Lepisosteus oculatus: one gene and its partner. The protein of the gene in region 2 purifies or fractionates together with the protein of the main gene of each other region. This does not show direct contact. Links are inferred from orthologs where the notes say so. Each region holds a gene or a part of one and is shown on either strand. Other genes may lie near its edges.

Region 1 (10,742 bases), on a different chromosome or scaffold from region 2:
GGCGCTGTCGCAGCAGGAGGATGAGGTTGGGATGGGAGGGAGAAGGGGGGGGGCTCTACATCTCAGACAACAGGCACAGACACAGGGCAGAGAGAGAGACTGGAGAGTGACGGACAGTCGCGTCGGCCTAGCCTGCAGGTGCGGAGCCAATGGCTCGCTCCCTTCCTCATCCCCCACCTTTCCTCTGGCACCCCCAGGTGGTCACCTCCAGTACCGCACCGCTCGAGACCCCACGCGCCCTCGGACACACCCGCGCACCGCGCAAGACGCACAACCCCCTCTCTCTCTCGCTCGCAGCTCCGGCCGGCCGGGATCTTCAGCCCCGGGTGAAGAGGAGATCCGCCCCGGGGGGGGGCACGACCTCTCACGATTCCGTGAGCTACGCCTGGAAAACCCGGTCACGTCGCCACCGAGCCAACGACGTCGACAGCCACGCTCGAAACAGGGAGGACAAGAGGCAGAGGATGAGCTTCCTGCCTGGCGGGACACCCAACGCCAGCGCTAGCTGGACCAGGAGGACGAGCTGCTACACGAGCTGCTGTACGGCCTCATGGGAGCTCCAGCCTCGCACGCGATCCCACCTGCCGCTCCCCGTGAGTTTCCCAGGATTCCCCCCTGTGTCTGGGTGGGTGGGTGTTGGGTGAAGGGGGGTGGGGGGGTGGAAGGGAGAGAGCGGTCACAGAGCAGCACACAGACAGAAGCCGCAGGCAGACGGGCAGACGGACGGAGCCAGGCAGCAGGCACACATGCACACGAACACCCGGGCAGGCAGCCGCCTGCCTCCTGCCGCACCACGGCGCCCCCTGGTGTCGGCCAGCCGCGGGGCTCTTCCTGTCGGGCTGGAGAGGAAGCGGGACGCTTCACTTCCACGTCTGCTACCCCACGGGGGGGCGGGGGAGCTGCTGGTCTGGTCTGGTCTGGGTACGACAGTCCTCAATCGACCAATTGAGGGGGGAAACGGGACGCCCCACCAGGATATGCCAGGTCTGCCAAATTAAAACTATACTGAAGACACGGGGGGGGCAGGGGGGCAGAGGGCAGGTCTGATGCCCATTACTGCATCCCCACACATCTGTGCAAGCAGACTCTGAACAAGGCAGTGAGCTTTAGACCTCCAGCCCTTCTAAATCAAAGCCCTTGAGCTGGTGAACCCCGGAGTGGATCAGACTGCTGTGCACTGGGACCGAGGGTGCAACTGCCCGGCCAGGGGCTGGAGATTTCATTCTCCATCCCCTTTTCAACACTGACACAGGCAGTCGAGAAGCGCTCGCATTGACCAAACTTGCTTCTAGGCTTCCCTCAGTACAGTCTGCCCGGGAGCCCCGCGGCAGGCAATCCTGGCCACGCCCAGTGCGGCCCGGAGGCCCCGCCCACAGTGGGAGGAGCGGCTGCCAGCCCCACCCACGAGAGGAAGTAAGACGGGCACCTGGAGACCCGGGACACTGGGCATGCTCCGCAGGCACCTCAGTGCACACAAACTCTCTGCCACCGAGGAGCAACTCAACCAGAGAGAGCGGGGCACTGAGCACTGCGAGAGAGAGAGAGAGAGAGAGAAGGGGAGGGAGTGAGAAACAGCCATTAGGAGCCACAATCTCTCTCTCACCCACGCACACTGACCCACACACAGCACTGCCTCACACGCACGCCAAGCGCCGCCACGCGCACCGAGACAGGGAAGAGAATCCGACAAAGAGGGGAAGAAGTGGAAAGAGAGAGAGAGAGAGCTGGATAAAGTGAAGAGAGGAGGAGAGGGGGAGAGCAGGAGCACTGCTAGAATGAGCAGCGGACGAATTAGCTGGTGAAGCCAGAGAGCAAAGGCTACAGTCACGTGCTGTGCTCCAGAGTGGCAGAGGAAGGGGGCGAGTGGCCGGCTCTGTGCCCGCTGTGTCTCCCTCTCAAGCCCCCCGCCTCCCTAATCCCGCTCGGACCCCCCGCTCTCGCCCAGAGGCGCAGCTGCTCCGAAGCACAAGCCCACCCCGGCGCTGCTCAGACACGGCTCTCGGATCCCCCCCGCCCCCACGAGCGCCACAGACCCCCAGGCACAGGGCAAGTCCTGCCACAGCTGACCACAGCGAGGGAGCCCCCAGGAGCACGGCAACACTCCGCCCGGCCCCTGCTGGGGCCAGGGGCTGAGCCCAGCCTGTGTGCGAGACAACAGACCGGCAGTGCAGGGCAGTCTGATCCGCCAGACTCAGTCAATTCAATGTCTTCTGTATAGCGCCTTTTACAATGGTCATTGTCACAAAGCAGCTTTACAGATTCCCGGGCCTGAACCCCAAGCGAGCAAGCCCAGGGCGATGGTGCCAAGGAAAAACTCCCTCAGAGTAGGAAGAGACCTTGAGAGGAACCAAGGCTGGGAAGGAGGAGCCCATCCTCTTCCAGCTGGTACCAGGTTAAAGTAGAACAAACACATATGAGCGTCGTCTGCATTCTGTTACATGGTGGGAACAGCACAATCATGTATGGTACTGGCCAACAGTGTCCCGAATGTTCAACTGGTTTCCTTCAGATTTCTTGGGCAGGGCTTTGTAGAGGACCGGCTGTTGATTTTAGGACTGGTAAAGGGAGCTGGATTCTGGATCTAGGCCTCCTAACAGTCAACATCAGAATGGATGGATAGAAAAGAGATAACAGCAAAGTGGTAGTGAGACTGTCAGTAGTGTAAAACCTGGAGTGGATCAGACTGCTGTGTACTGGGAGTCACACTGACAACACTGTAAAGCCTGGAGTGGATCAGACTGCTGTGCACTGGGAGTGTGACTGACAGCACTGTAAAGCCGGGAGTGGATCAGGCTGCTGTGCACTGGGAGTGTGACTGACAGCACTGTAAAGCCTGGAGTGGATCAGGCTGCTGTGCACTGGGAGTGTGACTGACAGCACTGTAAAGCCTGGAGTGGATCAGACTGCTGTGCACTGGGAGTGTGACTGACAGCACTGTAAAGCCTGGAGTGGATCAGACTGCTGTGCACTGGGAGTGTGACTGACAGCACTGTAAAGCCTGGAGTGGATCAGACTGCTGGGGGTCAGAATAAAAAATACTGTATACTCTCCTTCAGCCATGACTGTGAAATATAGTGGCACAGACACTACAACTAAACATTTAGACAACAGGAAATGATCCACAGCCAGAGAAAGCCATCTCATCTCTGGACTAGAACAGTAATGTTCAGAAGCAGGGTATCTGGATATTTTTATTTTTCCACAAATGTCCCTTATCACACTAACGCCCTCCATCCACAAATTCACAGACAGGCACCCCAGCCACACACAAGGCAGGTCCCACAGACAGCAGACCCACACAGAAGCGGACACGCACTGCCACACAAACCAACGCCCCTGACCCAGTCACAGACCAATGAGTCAAGACGCGAACCAGCGCTCCCTCGACCACATCCACAGGCGACAACCCGACTTCGGCTACCGAGGAGTGTCCACCGGTCGCCGCGACTGGATCGAGTACCTCGGGCTGTGGGAGCGAGAGCCGATCCCGGCCAGACGGACAGGCCCGAACTCCGCGACCCGGTTCCGCGTCCCACACTTCCTCCTGCGACGCGGCGACTGGGCCGCGTCTCCGTCTCCAACCCCGCACGCCCGGCCGCGCAGGGGCCACGGACGGGCCCCCGGCGAGCCGCGACGAGGCCGTGCGGAGGCCGCCTGCCGGCGAGCGGCCTGCCGCGTCTGTGCGGGGTCGCCTTCACTCGCAGCCCGGCTCCGTCCCTCTCCGAGCTGGCCCGGGCCGGAGCCCAGGCCCCTGTGGCGCAGTCGAGACCCGGGCCTGACGCTCGGCCCACAAGGCGAACTCTCTGCTCTCTCTCTCTCTCGCCCTGGTCGCGCTCAGACCCCGAAAAGCGAGGTGAAAACTCTTCGAATATCTCGACCTCTCGGGCCCTGTGCCTCTATGCCTGACCCCCCTCCCTCACCACCATCGCCGCCTCCTCCGCCGCCTCTCTCTCCCCCATCTAGGCCGATCTGCCCCCTCGCTACCTCGATCGCGATCCTTCTTCCCTCCGGGGCCGGAGCCGTCCCCTTGCTATGCCCACGCCCGTGGGGAGCGGCGCTCTCCCGACCCCACTCACCATCAGCTCCAGGCTCTTGTCCTCCATGTCCGGCTCCATGTTGTTGTTCCCCCGAAACTCGCTGCGAAAATGGAAACCCAGCCCTGCGTCACTGCGCACGCCGCCCCCGCCCGAGGCCCTGACGTCATCAACGTCATTGCGCAGCTGGGGGGGAGTGGGCGGGGCGGTAAAACCTCTTCCCAAGTCTCTCGCCTCCCCCCTCTTTGGTTCCCCTCTGCGGCGGTGGCCAATCCTGGGCTGGCTTTCAATTGTGCTTTGGGCACCAGTGAAGCCGAGACCCGCCATAGTCAGTTGTGGCAACCATTGAGTTCAGACAAGGCGATGTGAAAGCTGGACATTTCTCATAATCGACATGTCTTTCACACACATCGACAGAGTAGCATTATTCGATGTTACACAGCGTAAAAAGTCGTGACTGGGGCTGGGGGAAACCCCAAGTGATTGTGGAGGCTCCACCTGGGGTACTGTGAACCCTGAGGGATTGGGGTGACCTCAGCCAGGTTACTGTGCTGTGAACCCTGAGGGATTGGGGTACTGTGTTGGGGGGGGGCTCTCTGATTTAGGGTGTGCTACAAGACTAGCCTCACCAGGGCTCCAGGATCATGAAGCTGTCACACCAGACAAAGCAGCTCCCTCCCTCCGCCACTCTTCTTACAAGCTTCTGCCACTGCTGGCAGAGCCCCAGGGATCCAGGATACTCCAGCTCTCTACAACCGAGCTTCCCTGCTGCTCTCGGACGGCGTTGGGGGCCCAGTCCCTACTGTCCCGGCCGGGACAGGCCATGCTTCCCGCATGGAGACGAAAAGCAAAGAATCACAGCGAGAAGGGGGGTGGAGTAGCAAGGAGGAATATGAAACATGAGCAAAACACAAATTCCAACTAAGCAAGAGGTCTTGGACTCGGCTTTGGGGCAGCATGGTGGTGCAGGCGTTAGCATTGCTGCCTTCGCAGAGCTGGGGCCCTGGCTCGGTGTGGAGGTTGTATGTTCCTCCCACCATCCATGTAAGACATGCTGGTAGGTTGACTTCTGGCAAAATTGCCACTGGTGTCAGTGTATCTGTGCCCTGCACTGGCATCCTGGCCAGGGTGTACCCACCCTGGGGCCACTGCTTGCCAACATAGGCTCCAGTTCCCCTGTGACCCCACGTTGGAGGAAGTGGTGAGAAACTGGATGGATAGAGTTGGCTTTGGTAGACCTGTAATCAAATCCAGCACCTGCAGTCAAGATCTTCCATAGCTGAAAATGAGTTAAGTAGGAACCTAAATAAGCTCAATCAGAATACAGCAAAGACCCTTTTTAGTTCATGTCATACAGCAGCATTACAGCGCAGGACAAAACACATCTAGGCACCCAGTTCACCAAAAACCTAAACCTTTCTTTTGTCCCCCTAGTAGCCATTTCTACTCAAAGGACTGTGGTCTAGCAGATCAATTTTACAGAGGAGGGAGGAGCCCAAAATATATTCAGCATGAATGTGGACCCGGTGGAGAGTTTCTGAAACTCTGGGCTTGTTCCCCAAAAAAGTCAAAGACCAGCAAAGCTCCAGGCAAATTGGGATGGTTATGCTGGATGAAGTCTGACAGTTTGAACAGGTAATAATTCAGCATTCTTGGGCAGGTTTCACCTGCAGCACTGTTCACCCTTCAGTCAAACACCAGTCCTAACACCTGCATGATCTGTGGTTCTTCCGAAGCGATGAGTGATGAGTGATGGGGCATGCCTGTACCAGCACAAAGACGGCATCCCCACGGCCATGAGTATCAAGCAATGAAAAGCACAGCTGTAACCATCAGTGCACAGCCCCTGACAGTCTGCCTCCACAATCTGTCACAAACATCAGCACACCCGCCCTCCTTCCTTGTGTAGCCCAGACCCTCAGTAAACTGTGGTACAGTCCTCAGCTTAGCCCAGACCCACAGTAAACTAAAGTACAGCCCTCAGTGTAACCCAGACCCTCAGTAAACTGTAGTACAGTCCTCAGTGAAGCCCAGACCCACAGTAAACTGTAGCCCAGACCCACAGTAAACTATAGTTCAGTCCCCAGTGAAGCCCAGACCCTCAGTGTAGCCCAGACCCTCAGTAAACTGTAGTACAGTCCTCAGTGAAGCCCAGACCCACAGTAAACTGTAGCCCAGACCCACAGTAAACTATAGTTCAGTCCCCAGTGAAGCCCAGACCCTCAGTGTAGCCCAGACCCTCAGTAAACTGTAGTACAGTCCTCAGTGAAGCCCAGACCCACAGTAAACTGTAGCCCAGACCCACAGTAAACTATAGTTCAGTCCCCAGTGAAGCCCAGACCCACAGTAAACTGTAGCCCAGACCATCAGTAAACTGTAGTTCAGTCCCCAGTGAAGCCCAGACCCTCAGTGTAGCCCAGACCCTCAGTAAACTGTAGTTCAGTCCCCAGTGAAGCCCAGACCCTCAGCGTAGCCCAGACCCACAGTAAACTGTAGTTCAGTCCCCAGTGAAGCCCAGACCCTCAGTAAACTCTTGTTCAGTCCCCAGTGAAGCCCAGACCCTCAGCGTAGCCCAGACCCACAGTAAACTGTAGTTCAGTCCCCAGTGAAGCCCAGACCCTCAGTAAACTCTTGTTCAGTCCCCAGTGAAGCCCAGACCCTCAGAAAATTGTAGTACAGCCCTCAGTGTAGCCTAGACCCACAGCAAACTGTAGTACAGCCCTCAGCAAACTGTAGTACAGCCCTCAGCTTAGCCAGGACCCACAGTAAACTGTAGTACAGCCCTCAGCTTAGCCAGGACCCACAGTAAACTGTAGTACAGCCCTCAGCTTAGCTAGGACCCACAGTAAACTGTAGTACAGCCCTCAGCTCCTCAGTACACTTTCATCAGACCAGAAAGCCCAGCTTACAGCCCTACCTGCTCCTCTCAATGTGAAGAGCAGGTGGAAAAGAGTTTTGCTGGAAGAGAAGTGTCTCCTATTCATCACCAAGGGTCCCTGTACCTCAACACACCAACTGAGGAAGGGCAGCAGGATCAGTAGCCAATCGTCCATCGGGGAATTCCTGCAGACAACGTCGCCCCTCCATCATTCAACATCTGGAGAGCACCCCCAATTCGATGGGGACACACCCATGGCCAGCAGGGATCAGCAGCTCTAGCTGCGCCCCTGGGCCTGCTGGGTGGACACTGTGGTGCTTACAGGAGCCCCAGAAAAACACATCAGGAGCCTCAGCCCCACCCCCCCCGTGTGACAGGAGAAGGACATCGGCCCCCCACCCCCCTCCTAATGGACACGAGCACCTTGGACAGCTGACAGCCAACAGCAACAGGATGAAATGGAAAGCTGGACCATAAAGGGGTTAAATGTTGTTAAGCAGTTTCAAATTTAATACACTTCCGCTCTTCTACAGAACCCAAGGTAAAAAAAAAATTGAACTTCATAAAATACAACAGCAGCTGATGCCTGTAAAAAAAAAAAAAAATGGGGGGAGGGCAGGGAGGGGAGCTCGCTGGCGGGGTGGGAGAGGGAGAAATAAAGAAAAATAGTTCTCTCTATAATTATAAGATTGGGAATCGTGAGTCCGAAGCGCTGTGGGATGAGGGGGCAGCGCTCTGATCTCTCAGGGGCCGGGACACGTTCCTATGACTGCGAAGAGAAACGTCTAGACAAGGGGAGCCCCCCTCGCCCCGGCACGGCCGCTGGGCCAGGGCAGGGGCGCCCCGCAGACACGCGCTGTGTTGTGAAGACATTTCTCCTGCCGTCTCCCTCTCCCTCTCTCGGTATGTGGTCATTCCTCCCTCTCTCACTGAAGGAGGAAGAGAGGTGGTGTTGACGCCCCAGTCTGGACTACCTAGTAGTCATCCAAGTCAAAAAATTCGTCGTCGTCACCCTGGTACTCCATCCCCTGGAAATCCACTCGGTACCGCAGGATCCCTGTGAGAGAGAGGGTGAGAGAGATCAGGGTCAGCCGCAGGGCAAACAACACTACCTTACCCACTGGGAAACAACTGGAACAACTGTTACAGGTGACCACAGCCTGGCCGTAGAAACTGGTCACAGACAGACCTGACTGTCCAGAGAGGACAGGCTCAGTGACCACAGCCTGGTCTTAGAAACTGGACACAGACAGACCTGACTGTCCAGAGAGGACAGGCTGTGCTCCCACTGCCAGCAGGTCTAGAGACACACTTTCTGCACTATGAGAAATACTCCAGGTTTAGACAAAAATAAATGACAAACGTTTATATCCTGAATTTCTGAGTTCCAATATGCACACTTGCAGCCTCGTGTCCCTTGTTTCCTTCCGCCCAGTTCCTGCAGAGCTTAAGTTGAGTTTCACAAAGGTGCTCATGAGTGCCCCCAATGAGTGCAACACAGCAGACTGAAGGGAATTACCCCATATGTGTGATATCATGTGAGGGTGTCCCACTACCCTTTTAATAAGCGAGCATCTCGAATACCCGCACACTTTAAATTCACACCTGCTCTACACAGAGGTGTGAACTTAAGAGGACACGGCCAATGTTTCCTGATTGTTACTCCTCTGACCACACTCATTCATCAGCTGTTCCAATCGAGTTCCTTGAATTTGAGAGGGCGCAGGAGAAAAGGGGTTCGAACCCCTTACAGACCCCACCACTCACTCACCCCCAATGCCGCCGAACCCCTTGACGAACTGCGAGCCCTCCTGCGACTTGTCCGTGACAATCTCCAGCGTGGCGCCGAACTTCTTGTAGTTGTTGGCGAACCACTCCAGCAGGGGCATGCTCTCGATCAGCTCGTGCTCCTGCCCCGTCTGACGGAGAGAGAGAGAGAGGGGGAACACGATCACTCACAACACCTACAGCCCCAACAGCACTGCTCTCCCACTGGACAATCCAGAGGACTTCTTCAGGGTCACTGGTGACGACTGAACCAGAAGACTAAACTACAGGGAAGAGCATTTAAAATGGAGCCCAGGAGAAACGTCTTTACACTGAGAGTAGTGGGAGGGTAGAACAAGCCGCACAGCCATTCTGATGAAACGGATATTTTGCTCTCTTTCAAGAAAAATCCGGATGACATCCTCCAGTCAGCACAGGAGGCACTTCTTTACACAAAGGGTGGTGGGTGTGTGGAACAAGCTGCCCAACCACGTAGTTGAAGCCGATACCCTGGCTTCAACAGCTGGATGATCTTTGATCAATCAGCCAGTAATGACACAGGCCAGACAGGCTTAATGGTCCCCTCCTGTTTGTAACCTTTCTGACGTTCTTAAAACCTGCTTTGGCAAGAACTTCACAACCTAGTCATGCCGAAAACAGAAGATATCAGTATTTTATTGTTCAGCGTGGCTGCAAATGCTTTTCTAATTATTGCTGGTCGTGCCAATACAGGCTGGAGTGAGAACAGACTCTCCTCACCTCTTTGTCTGTGAAGTGGGACTTGTCCTTCTCCTGCTCTGGCGTAAGGTACAAAATCTTCTCTTCTGCAAGACAAACGAGTGTCAGACAACAGGGAGACACACCAAGACACACTCCAGTGTAGAAGAGCCTGCAGCCACACAGCATGTGACATCATGATGGTTCTGACAATGCTAGTGTGCATGTGTGTGTTGGCTTGCAGTGACAGTGCAGGTGGGGGTTGTGTATGTCTAATACCCTGGGGTGATAGTGTGAGAGACCAGGATGGTGGTGACGGTGCGTGGATGCGAGTGTGTGAGAGACCAGGATGGTGGTGACGGTGACGGTGCGTGGATGCGAGCGTGCGAGAGACCAGGATGGTGGTGACGGTGACGGTGCTTGGATGCGAGCGTGCGAGAGACCAGGATGGTGGTGACATTGCGGGTGCGTGGATGCGAGCGTGCGAGAGACCAGGATGGTGGTGACATTGCGGGTGCGTGGATGCGAGCGTGCGAGAGACCAGGATGGTGGTGACATTGCGGGTGCGTGGATGCGAGCGTGCGAGAGACCAGGATGGTGGTGACATTGCGGGTGCGTGGATGCGAGCGTGCGAGAGACCAGGATGGTGGTGACATTGCGGGTGCGTGGATGCGAGCGTGCGAGAGACCAGGATGGTGGTGAGGGTGCGTGGATGCGAGCGTGCGAGAGACCAGGATGGTGGCGACAGGCCCGTACCCTCGGTGCCGTGACATCGCAGGACGTAGCGCATGATGTCGAGGTTTTCGTAGACGATGAGGATCTCCACTGCGCCCATCTCTAGAGCCTTCAGCGTGTCCTCCACCCCGAAGCAGTACTTCCCCGTGTCCTGGCTAATTTCGTCAAAGTACCGGCCTGAGGGGGGACAGGGAGAGGCTGAGCACCCCGCAGGCCCACACTGCGCGGTGCCCCCAGAGCAGCCCTGGCCCAGATGGCAGCGTACCAATGAGCTTCTTCTCCTGGATGAACTTGACGTTGGACAGCACCTCGGCCGACAGCTCGATGGCCTGGTTGAAGCCGTTCTCTCCACCATACGAGATGTCGACCAGCTTCAGCACCTTCGCCTGCAACCTCTGGTGAAACAGAGAGACACGGAGGTCAAGTTCCTGCTCTACGCCGATGACCTGGTCCTGCTGGAGCAGTACTGTCAGACTGTCAATCTGGACAAGACCTGAGTAGTGGTTCTTCACAAGACAGATCCTGGGAAACAGATAATACTAAAACACAACCAGTTACACATAGATTGCACTGACAATCAGTTCATGTGGCAGTGCTGACCTAGTATGGGG
Region 2 (10,839 bases):
TAAATTAGTATATAGTTTATTTGACAATAGCACAGAACGTATATTTATGGTAATTTGTGTTTTATGCATCATCAACACACACCTGTGTATGTTTTATTATATTGTAACGCATACGGCCTCCACTGCTTGTGAGAGCTGGCTTACCAGAGCGGTGACGTCACCGCCCTTCCCTGTGAATAGCAGGGACTGCAGTCGCTGGGCTGATGGAAGATTTCCCTTTGGCTCAAGAGGCTGGGTCCCTGTTGAGTGATGCTGGAGGCCCAGGTTTGAGTCCCCGACGGTGGGGGGCTGACCTGATGCGGCAGCGGTGTGGGCACCCATGTGAACCCTGTAGAGTTACATTGGTGTCAGAAGTGAGGTGGGATAGCCCTTCGCCGAGGATGGCGAGTTAAGCGGGGGAGAGTGTAACGCATACGGCCTCCATTGCTTGTGAGAGCTAGCTTACCAGAGTGGTGACTTCACCGCCCTTCCCTGTGAATAGCAGGGACCGCAGCCGCTGGGCTGACGGGAGATTTCCATTTGGCTCAAGAGGCTGGGTTCCTGTTGAGTGACGCCGGAGGCCTGGGTTCGGGTCCCCGATGGTGGGGGGCTGACTTGAGGCGGCGAGGGTGCCCACATGAACCCCGTAGCATTAAAATATTATTTTCTTCAGGACCCTAGAATTTCAAGTATGTGACAAAGGTTATAAATAAAGAGACCATTTGGCCTGTCTTACCTATTGTATCTGGTTGCTAGCAGCTTTGTGTCCAAAGAATCTCCTCCGGCTATTTCTTAATGGATACCAGAGAAACTACTTTAAAGAGCATGATAAGACAATTTATTCCAAACTTCCACTATCCTTTATATAAAAAGGTGCTTGGAAACTTGAAAATGCCAGAACCTTAACTTACATCTTTATCTCTCTAGAAACGTCTCTCTAGAAACGTTTCTCTCCTAAACAATTTCCTCAGGACATTTAAAACATAGGAATAACACAAACAGAATCGCTTTTAGAAACATAGAACATGCTCTTAATGTACTTAGTGGCTCCTTTTCTAAGTCAATGCAAATCCACAATTCACATCATGCCACTGTCAGACTTTGTCTGGTGGCCATGCTCACGACATGGCTTGCACTTTAAAACAGAGTGAAAAAGTTGAGTTCAACAAGATTCTGGCTCAGTTTTGATTACCATGTGTGTGCCACTGTGAAAAAAAAAAGTTTTGAAGATCCCTATGGTCATCCTAGCTCAGCAAAACATTATTTAATTACTGTAAGTTATTGTAGTCCTGCTGTTATATAAGACGACAGTCATCATGTTTTAAAAATTGCACCAGAAACAAAGACTGCTGTTTTTCAAAGAATAATACTAGATTGGCTCTAAATCAAATTGTTTAATTGTCTACATTTCCATTGCGTTTTATGGGAATACAAACACTTAAGTGTTCTAAATATAAGGTCAAGGTTTTTAAACGACTCTAAACAACTTAAAAATATCAGTTACGGACTCTGTACATTTCTGGTTTATTCAGAACTATGATGGTATTGTAGGATTAGCTAAATGGATTTTCTCATTAGTGAAATAGACAGGCAAGCTTTCCAATGGTGGAAAATGTAGTGAATAGCCCCTGATATGAATTTGCATATTTTAAAAAGAATCCATTTAATCCTGAAATTGGAGCTCTGGAAAACTGCCCCTACTGTGAAAAATAATTAATTCTATAGGGAAAGGTGCTTATTTGCTGCATCAAATGATGAAGCTAGATGTCTCTGTACATCATGAAATCTAAATGTGCAGCTCTTGAGGTATGCACAGTATAGTTCACACAAAGCCTTGAATTATTCCGTAATTTCATCATGTTACATATGGTTTCCAGTATATGACTATGGAGAACCCATGACGGTTATTGAATTGTGAAAGAAAAGTCCCTTGGGCTAAAATTATTATACTCTGGAAGTAAGGTGCTAGCTGCCGAAATTAACACACAGGACATGTTCTGAGTCACAGTTGGTAGCAATGTAAGGTTTCACTGAGATGTAAAAATGTAATTGGGAGGTGTTGGCACTAACGTGTGAAAGCAGGAAAAGGACTTCAGCTTTGCATTATTATATGTACAGTATACAAAAATGCAAAGCTGCAAAGTATAATTGTGAAGATGAAGCTTCCCTTAACTGATTATAAAGACAAATTAGTCTTTCTGTAGAAAAGATTAAGTTTAAAGTTATCCTATCCTGGAAACTTGAATAATTATGTTAAAGACATCAGGCCTGGTTTCCATGTAAATGAAAAAATGTTGTTAAAAAGTATCCATATATGTGTAAATAAATATACTTAATGTAATATATCCTACTTTACTGTGTATGTACGGATTTAAATTCTAGCAAGTATATTGTCATTAAAAGCACATTTAACCATTCTACAATAATAATTACTTTAAATAATCAATTTAGGACAGTTATGACTTATAGCTTTATTCGTAAGTATTTGTCTTGCATTGTTTAATTTAATATTTATTTGGTTATATAAATATTTGTCTGTAAAAGTGTGCATTTTTCAGCATTAATAGAGAAAATCTAAATAAGCAGCTAGTAGCAGTTAACAAGCCACAGCCTGCCCACAATTAAGAAGTCAGTTTACTCAGCATAAACTAGACTGAAGGTGTATATGGGCATGTTACAGTAAGTATCTGTCAGAAGCTTCTGAGTGAAAATTTGAATTAATGTAGTTTGAATGAGCTTGTGCTGTAAATGGCTAAAACCTGTTTGTTATGGCCATTTTTCATATATACTGCTTTTCGTGCACTGTTTTGTGGACACGACTTTACTTCTTTCTGCAATAAATTTGTTTTCCACAAAACCCCTCTCCTTCTTGTCCATCCAACAACAATAATATTAATGTTTTAATACTGTTTGCAGCTCTTATTCTTCTCAATGTCAAAATGTCAATGAATATTTGCTATTTAAAACATGACCAAGATCATGTTGAGAGAATTCTAATGTCACGTACAGATAATTTACTTAATAACATTTAATATTGCGTAATATTTCATCACTCAGTAGTGTTTCTGTCTTGCTTGTTTTACTATTTTTAAAATTCAAGGCAACTCTTTATGCTTGAATGAAAACTCCTTTAGTGGGATATCTGCCTTTTCTTTCTGTTGCTATTCCACTTATGATTGCTTCATATGAGTTTTTTTTTTGTGCAAAATTCTGTGCTTTCCCATGGTTATTCCTACGCACAGAATCATTAAGGAAAATATTGGTGGTTGGCAGATATTCACTTTTTAACAAAGTGCAAACTCCACTAAGCGTTGTGTGAAAAACTCTTCTATTTTAGATTTTCTTTAAAAATGAACCAAGGATTTATATTCTATTCCTGCTTTCCAACACTTAAATCTATCAACTTCAACAAGAGAAACTGACAACGGAAAGTACAGTCCCTCATTAAAGTGAAATCATGTAGATGACCTTGATATAATTAAGAAAAGAAGGCTAGCATAATTTGGGAGTTGGATCAATGGTTCCACTCTTATACTTGATCAATAATTTTTCACACATCAAAAGCAAAACAGCACCCATCTGTCTTGTGTTTCCTTGTCCTGCCTCCTCCCCCTCCTCAGTTGTACAGCAAAGTTTCACCTCTGGCGAGCCCCTTGTCTTCAAGGCTCAGCCCCCTTTCATCCATACTTTTAATCTTAAAGGCACCTTCCCTGTGGGAGAGAGGGAGAAATGGCTGTTTTCTGGTCTGGTGTCAGACACTGAGCTGACATACAGTCATGGGGACAATTCACAAGGAAACAATCCTGTCCTCAATATCGATCTCATTATGCTGTTTTGTCAAGCTAAAGATCTGTTTTCAAGAATGAAATCCTGTGAGAAGGCAGTACAATCTGGTATGCAGAACAAGTGAAAAGGCTGCCACGAAGAGACATAAAGGTATTTAGTTTCTTCCACAGCTGTCTCAGAACCCAGGAATGGACATTTCACAATGTAGAAGAGGAAACCTTGATGGCTGCCTGCCATCTAACACATACCTAATTCCTCATCCAGCTCAGCTAACCACAATGAATGCAAGATCTCCTGACTGTGGCAAAACATAAGCAGAATTATAAAAGATATTTATTCCACACCTAACTGGGTTAAAGAACTGCATGCATCTTGTTTAGGAAATACCAAAAGCATAACTGCGGCATTTTTTTCACTTGTTGACCATTTTTTTTAAATTAGTAATGGAAGTGATTTTTCAAATCTAATTTTATTTTTGCAGGTAACTGCATATTGGTTATGTTACAGAGCTACCTATGTAACACCCTAGAGTATAAAAGAACCATTACTTAAACCAGGAAGAAGAAAAACTAGTTTTTCAGTTATTGAATGTTCCCACCCCCAAAGTCCGACTGACCTGAAACTCACTGCTGTATTTATAACATAGATGGTCAAATACAGTGCTGAAGGGCTGCACTGGTTTTCTTGTCACTCTTATCTTATTTAAATTATTTGGATAAGAATCTTAATAACGTATTTTCGAGTTCTTAATAAGCTTCATACTGAAATGTACCTATGAAACGTGCAGAGTTCCAGTCTTTGTGAACTAGAATTGTGTGTCCCTACAGAGTGGAATTGTTTTACTAATATTAACACGTTGCATTTATATAGTACTTTTTGGCCCGAAGCACCGCCCACTCCTACACACACGTTTAAGGATCCTTCCAGTTTCCGTTGCGGTTGTGGCTGACATATTTTTGGAACTCATTTTAACTTATTTTAAGCAAACCTCTTGCATTAAATGAATAAAGAAAGCCAGTATGCAGGTCATGACGCGGGTAATTATTTTGATTTCGCCAGCTCAGTGACGTGAGCTACCTTCGTGGCTGTGTTTGTGAGAGACGTGCTGCACGCGTCTCTTCCCCTCTGTCAGAGCACAGTGTGCACAGTGGGCGACCATGTGTTCCAGGGCACGTACGCAGAGGCAATCCGCAACTAGAACAAGCGCAAATCGGCCAGGGAGAGGTCACTGTTAATTGCTTTGCCACGCCTTTGAAGCACAAATAATGCTGTCCTATACGAGCCCATCAACCGGTTTGACCCAGTGCAGTCCTATATGGCGTAGCTAGCAGTCACCATCCAGCCCCTTCGGTACTGTTCGAGCGCTGTGGACCCACTGTGAATGCTGAGCGCAGAATCGTCAATATTACAGAAAATGTTTTGAGCTCTACACATGCTTACACGTTATGAATTTTAAAACGTTAACATATGAAATAGAAATAACATTTGCTGCAAGGAATGATCCTTTTTAAATAACAATGAGCTAACCTGCGCTATTTAAAAATGTGAAAATGCATACAATAGAAACCAAATACTCGCTTTATATCAATAGATTATTTATTTCTTCAGTTGCTTATGAATGATAATTTACATTTCACTTAGCTATCTTCAGTAAGTAAACAACTGGGTGTCTCAAATTATTGCAGATGCGTAACCCGCTTTTTGCTGATCCTTTGTGCTCAAAGCAATAGACCACAGCTCAAGCAAAGTGTTATAAACAACTTGAGATTGTAGGGCGTGTGTCTTGGAAAACACGAGTAGGCCAATGGAGGCTAACATCCCTACCACATGGTTAGCTTGTTTACTACAAGAGCGAAAGAGTCTGGGGAGTAGGGTTTTTATAAAATGCGGCAACTGCATCTAATCTTCGTATTAACTAGAGATAGCTATATAGGTTAGTATAATAAAATATCTAGAAATAATTTGAATCAATGTAAATACAAATACACACAAAATAATACTGCTTTTTATCACAGAGCAGTATAATCAGTTGCGCCTCAAAAACCGCGGACTTTTCAGGTGCTAATCCAATCCATTCTGAAATCCAGTCCATATTTGCCTTTAGAGCGTACAAGAGCCCTTCTGCTGGCTTTGAAAGCATCGACTTTAAGTTGCTGCCGGTCAGAGTCGAGGTTTAACCGAGGGGGTGTGTGCGGTATAAGAGAAGCGTAAGAGAAGGTATGTAAATCTTCATTGAAACTTATTTTGCAATGTAAGTTTTCACTTAAAGTGTTATTTCATGTTTTGATCCCGAGTTTGGATTGCACTAGGTTTATCGAATTTGTGCTGCGTCGATCGCCTTTTTGGTGTTGTTTTGTAGAATTTCCATAAAGGGCTGTTCTTAAAAGAAGAAAATCGAATCTATTTTACTGGAAGTCTCTTTTTAAAAAACATGAAATTCTGTTATAGCCGAATTTTAATTTATATATTACTTTTCACTAATAGTTTTTAATTTTAAGTTTGCAATTCAATGATTATTTTTCAGAGACGGCTATGATTTTATGAAGCAGGTCGATTTGGTTTAGAACGGTTGTGCATCGTTAAAAAAGCTTACAGTAAAAAAAACCCTGTATTGATTTTAAAAAGAAAAAAATCAACAAGCTGTTCCATAAACAGTGGAGCCCCCCCTCCTCTCAACTTGCAAACTTCTGATCCAGTTACGTGGACACTGGGGGAGAAAGTTTTTTTTTAAAAAAAGAAAATAATTAATTTTTGTTAGGATCACCCACTGAGTGTTTTAGCGCTAGAAAAGGGATGGGTTTTGCAATTGCATTGCAATATGTGCGCTTGAGCTTCAGTGCATTCGGCAATAGGACGTGTTCATATTTGGAAGCAGCTTGTGAAAAGATGCCGGGTGCAAAACCATGTTCCCGGCTACGCGGGTGAGGGTCTGTAGGGGGCGTTGAGAAGTGTTTCACAGGTTCTTCGGCTAATAACTATGCAGCCAGCGAAGGCCGTTTGTAATATATTTTTTCTGTTTCTTTAAAGATGAGGCATAAAGTCAAATTAGACGTTTTCCAGCAGTTGTATCTGTCATGGAACTGAAATAAGTATTCGCTCACTGATGCATACCATGAGTGTTTTTTCATGAAGCCCGAAACTGCCATGTGTTATTCTGGGGTGGCTTGGAAATGTTTCGGTATGTAAAAAGACAATATGATAGTTTTGTTTTTATGTAATAGGGATTTTACAAACAGGACCAGTATTACCATTGGTCAGCATGGCATTTTCTAATGATTCAGCACATATGGAGACTTCCACTGTATCCCATCACCAGAGTGTAGTATTCTATGGTTTTACACTCTAATGGAAACTATTAAGAAAGACAACAGTAATTAAGCATGACAAAGTATTTTTTTGATGCATTCCCCAACAAAACTCGGAAACACATTTCAGATTGTTGTATAGCAATTTAATTCATTTGTGGACAGCATGCTTATACTGATTAAATTGGGTCCATGAAATGACAAATGAGCTGTGTTCCCAATTTTATTGCACTATATTTGCCAGGTATGGCGTGGGAATATGGGCTTGATTGAGCTGAGACCTGTTTTCATTACTTTCATTGAACATTTTAAGTTGGTCTCAGTGGTTGGACTTTCCAGCACTCGGTTGCAGTAGATTAGAATGCGTAACAAACCGTTATTATAACAGACCATGAGAGACGTGCCATGTGGTCACACTTTGCTTCATGCAAAGTTAGAATTTACGTAACCAGAGACCTTCTGTTGCAATTAATCCAGCATCATGACTTTGAGTCATACTGACGTAAAGAAGGAAAAAGAAAACAAAGCCAAATATGACTTAGTCTTAGTTAAATGAGTGCTTTTTGCTTTTTTTGATCCCAAAGAATTGAGAATATCATGGGTTCGAATTCCAAAAATCAGGTATCGCTTTCCACAACTGACCATATAGTTTTAAACTAGCTAAAAGGGGGAATTGAAATATACTAACGATGATACTTTACATTTGTAACTTAGTACTTCATAGTGATAGATACCAGTGAAACAGCATCATGAAATGTCTCCTAAGGGGAGCGATTACTTGATTTACTCTTGTTGGCACATGTTGGGGGTGTATAGTCTTTAGTGTTCTTTAAAGCTTTCTCTCATCTAACCCTTGGCAAATCTTTTTACTGTATTTCCCGATTAGCTGCCAAGTTGTGTGCACATCCCTTCGTAACTTAGTCATCTTGTCTTTTGTTAATACATTTATCATTTTTTTAATTAACTCAGCTAAAGCAACATCAGAATCTTGAAAAACCAGATACACTGTTCCATCTTGACCTGCACAGCTAAGATAAGACTACATACTGTATATGTTCAGGCAGATAAAAAATAATAATAATAATAAACTTTATTTTACATAGTGTCTTTGAAGGTGGCTTCTCAAATTGCTTTACAGAATGACAACAACAATAAATAAAAAGAATCCACAAGATAAAACACAATTACAATATACAGAGGAGACTGTTGATGGTGGTACTAAGAAAAGCAGAAGGGTGAGGAATGGAACCAGTTAAGTAAAGGCTCTTCTAAAGAAGAAGGTTCTGAGTCTGGATTTGAAGGAGTTTAGAGAAGGTGACACTCTAATATCTTTGAGCAGAAAGTTCCAGAGCTTGGGGGCATAACAGGACCCATACAATGTTCACGGGCTTGAGGGACAGTTAGGAGACCAGAATTAGAAGAGTGAAGGTTGCAAGGTGGGGAGTAGGGCAGTAATAGTTCAGACAGGTACTGAGGTGCCAAGCCATGCAGAGCCTTATAGGTGAGCATGAGGATTTTAAAGTCCACATGGAATTTGACAGGAAGCCAGTGCAAAGACTCCAGGATAGGAGTAATGTGATCACTTGCACTAGACCTGGTCAGGATTCTGGCTGCTGAATTTTGGACATACTGCAGTTTGTTCAAAGTAGATTTAGATACCCGAGTGAGTAGAGCATTACAGTAGTCAATTTGAGAGAACAAAAATGTGTTGATCAGGTTTTTGGCTGCAGTTAGTGATAGCATAGGGCATGGTCTAGCGGTATTTCTGAGGTGAAAGAAAGATTTTCATCTCAGAAAAACCTCAGAACCTCACAAAAAGTAATGCGAAAAGTTCAGTGGTACAAATTTAAAAGGAGTCTGGATAAAAAGAAAACTTTCCCAACTCTTGGTCTCCAGTAAGAATCTGATATTTGATGGCGGCTGTTAGTTATTCAGATGCTTCTTGCTTCTACTGTACAGAAAACCTGCCATTTGCAATTTGATGTTCTTGAGTGGTTTGAACATTCACTTTAGTTCTGGATCCAACTAAGCTTTCCATTTCTTATTTTATTTCTTTGAAATTAAAAATTAACACTTATCCCTTAAGGTTTCCTAGGATGGACATGATGTTGCTTCAATCACGTGCATGCTTTAAAATATCAGATGTGCAGTATCTTGAAAAGAATCTAAATTCTAAATTATATCGAAATGAGCAGGTAATAAAAATAAAAGGACTTGAGTCTTCAAGCAGAAAGGTGAAAAAGGCACAAGTGCACATGAACTTGTTAAATTAAAGTTTGAATCCCAAAAGTTAAATCAAATGTTTGTGTGTTGTCATCTTTCTCCTGGTAGGAGCTGACAGTAGGTTATACCTTTGCTGTGGTTCGTCAATGGCGACGGTTGTGCCCAAACGCTTGGGGAAACGCTCTTTGCTGGGGACCTTGGTGTGCGCCCCATGTCCCTCTGGAGATGGCCTGCTTGTCCCAGGGCAGATTGAAGCTGTGCATTCGGAGCCTGGCGGAGCAGTGAGGTCATGCACTGTAGCCCTGGAAGATGGGCAGCTGCAGGAATACTCTCAAGATAGCATCGTGGGGCCTGGTTTCCAAAGCCTCAGTCGCTTCAAGCTGTACCCAGGACAGAAGGTAAAGGCCGGGGTTCTTCAGAGGTAGTTTAAGGGAATCCAAATCACAGCAGATTACTTTCAACAGCTGCTTATCCAATTCAGGGTCATGGTGCCCTGGAGCCTATACCTGGAAGGACAAGACAGGATACACCCTGGAAGGGACACCAGTCCATTGCAGGCCATACGCTGACACAGACACAAATTCACACATTCACTCCAGGACGAGTTTTCCCAGAAGCCAACTAACATACCAGTATGTCTTTGTACTCTGGGGAGAAACTGGAGCACCTGAAAGAAACCCACACGAATGCGAGGAGAACCTACAGATAGACGCTAATAATTGAATCCAGGGCTTCAGTACTGCAAGGCAGCAATGCTAACCACTGCCTCACCAAGCTTCCCTTCAATGAAAGTATCAAATTCAAAGGGTTTTATTGACATGATCGACGATTTACATTGTTGACAAAGCAGATACAATTAACACAATATTCACAGTAAAACATATTATTAAGCATTTTTCATACATATATAATTGGATCTATTGTGAGACAGGTTTACTGTCTGTTCCTCAGAGTGTGACAGGAGATCACATACTGGGCTTCCAGCTCGACTGAGTTTCCATTCCATCCTCCCAGTTATAAGGGAAGCTATTTTCATTCTGGCATTTGTGGAGATTCTGTTTTTTTTTTATTTAAGGGAGGAATGTTATAGTAATTCCAGAGTATTTCTTGTCAGTGCGTTTTGTTTCTTCTTTCTGACTGGTTCTCTGGGTATCATCTTTGAGATTAACCACTTCGTAGTTCTAATTAGCATATCATTTGCGCTGGTGTCTCTTAGTTTGCAGCATTGCCAGAAATCACTCTTAAATAGCAGCCCGTACCATAATAGTTTGACCTTCACTTAATTGCTTCATGGGAATTCATTAAAGCATGGTCATATATCAGCCATATTTATTACATTTCTTGTTGCATTTCGTATTCTGAAAACCCTGCGCAGATCTTCATTGAGAGGAAATGCTTTAGGCATTTATCAGTGTTGCAAGCACATGTGCTTACACAGTTCCTAAAAATGTCGCAGTACCCTGAGTTATAGTTCTGTTTCATTTCTCATTCAGAGACCGCCTCCAAACTCCTTAACTTACAAGCATCAAGTTTGTTGACCTTATCT

The links.
Region 1: the proteins of zinc finger protein 395 (region 2) and F-box and WD repeat domain-containing 11-B purify together in Homo sapiens (affinity purification with mass spectrometry; 5 studies listed by BioGRID and IntAct, with this or other methods). This does not show direct contact. The link is inferred for Lepisosteus oculatus from reciprocal best matches to the Homo sapiens genes ZNF395 and FBXW11.

Annotation. Positions count from the first base shown.
Region 1 is NC_090706.1:29,881,181-29,891,922, forward strand, and holds the start of F-box and WD repeat domain-containing 11-B, read right to left. Parts: upstream 4,192-10,742; 5' UTR 4,116-4,191; coding exon 4,077-4,115; intron 1,529-4,076; coding exon 1,427-1,528; intron 1-1,426. Other genes in the region: eukaryotic peptide chain release factor subunit 1, read right to left, coding at 7,887-7,969, 8,684-8,831, 9,439-9,503, 10,153-10,308, 10,397-10,526.
Region 2 is NC_090697.1:60,065,576-60,076,414, forward strand, and holds the start of zinc finger protein 395, read left to right. Parts: upstream 1-5,752; 5' UTR 5,753-5,982; intron 5,983-9,401; 5' UTR 9,402-9,439; coding exon 9,440-9,691; intron 9,692-10,839.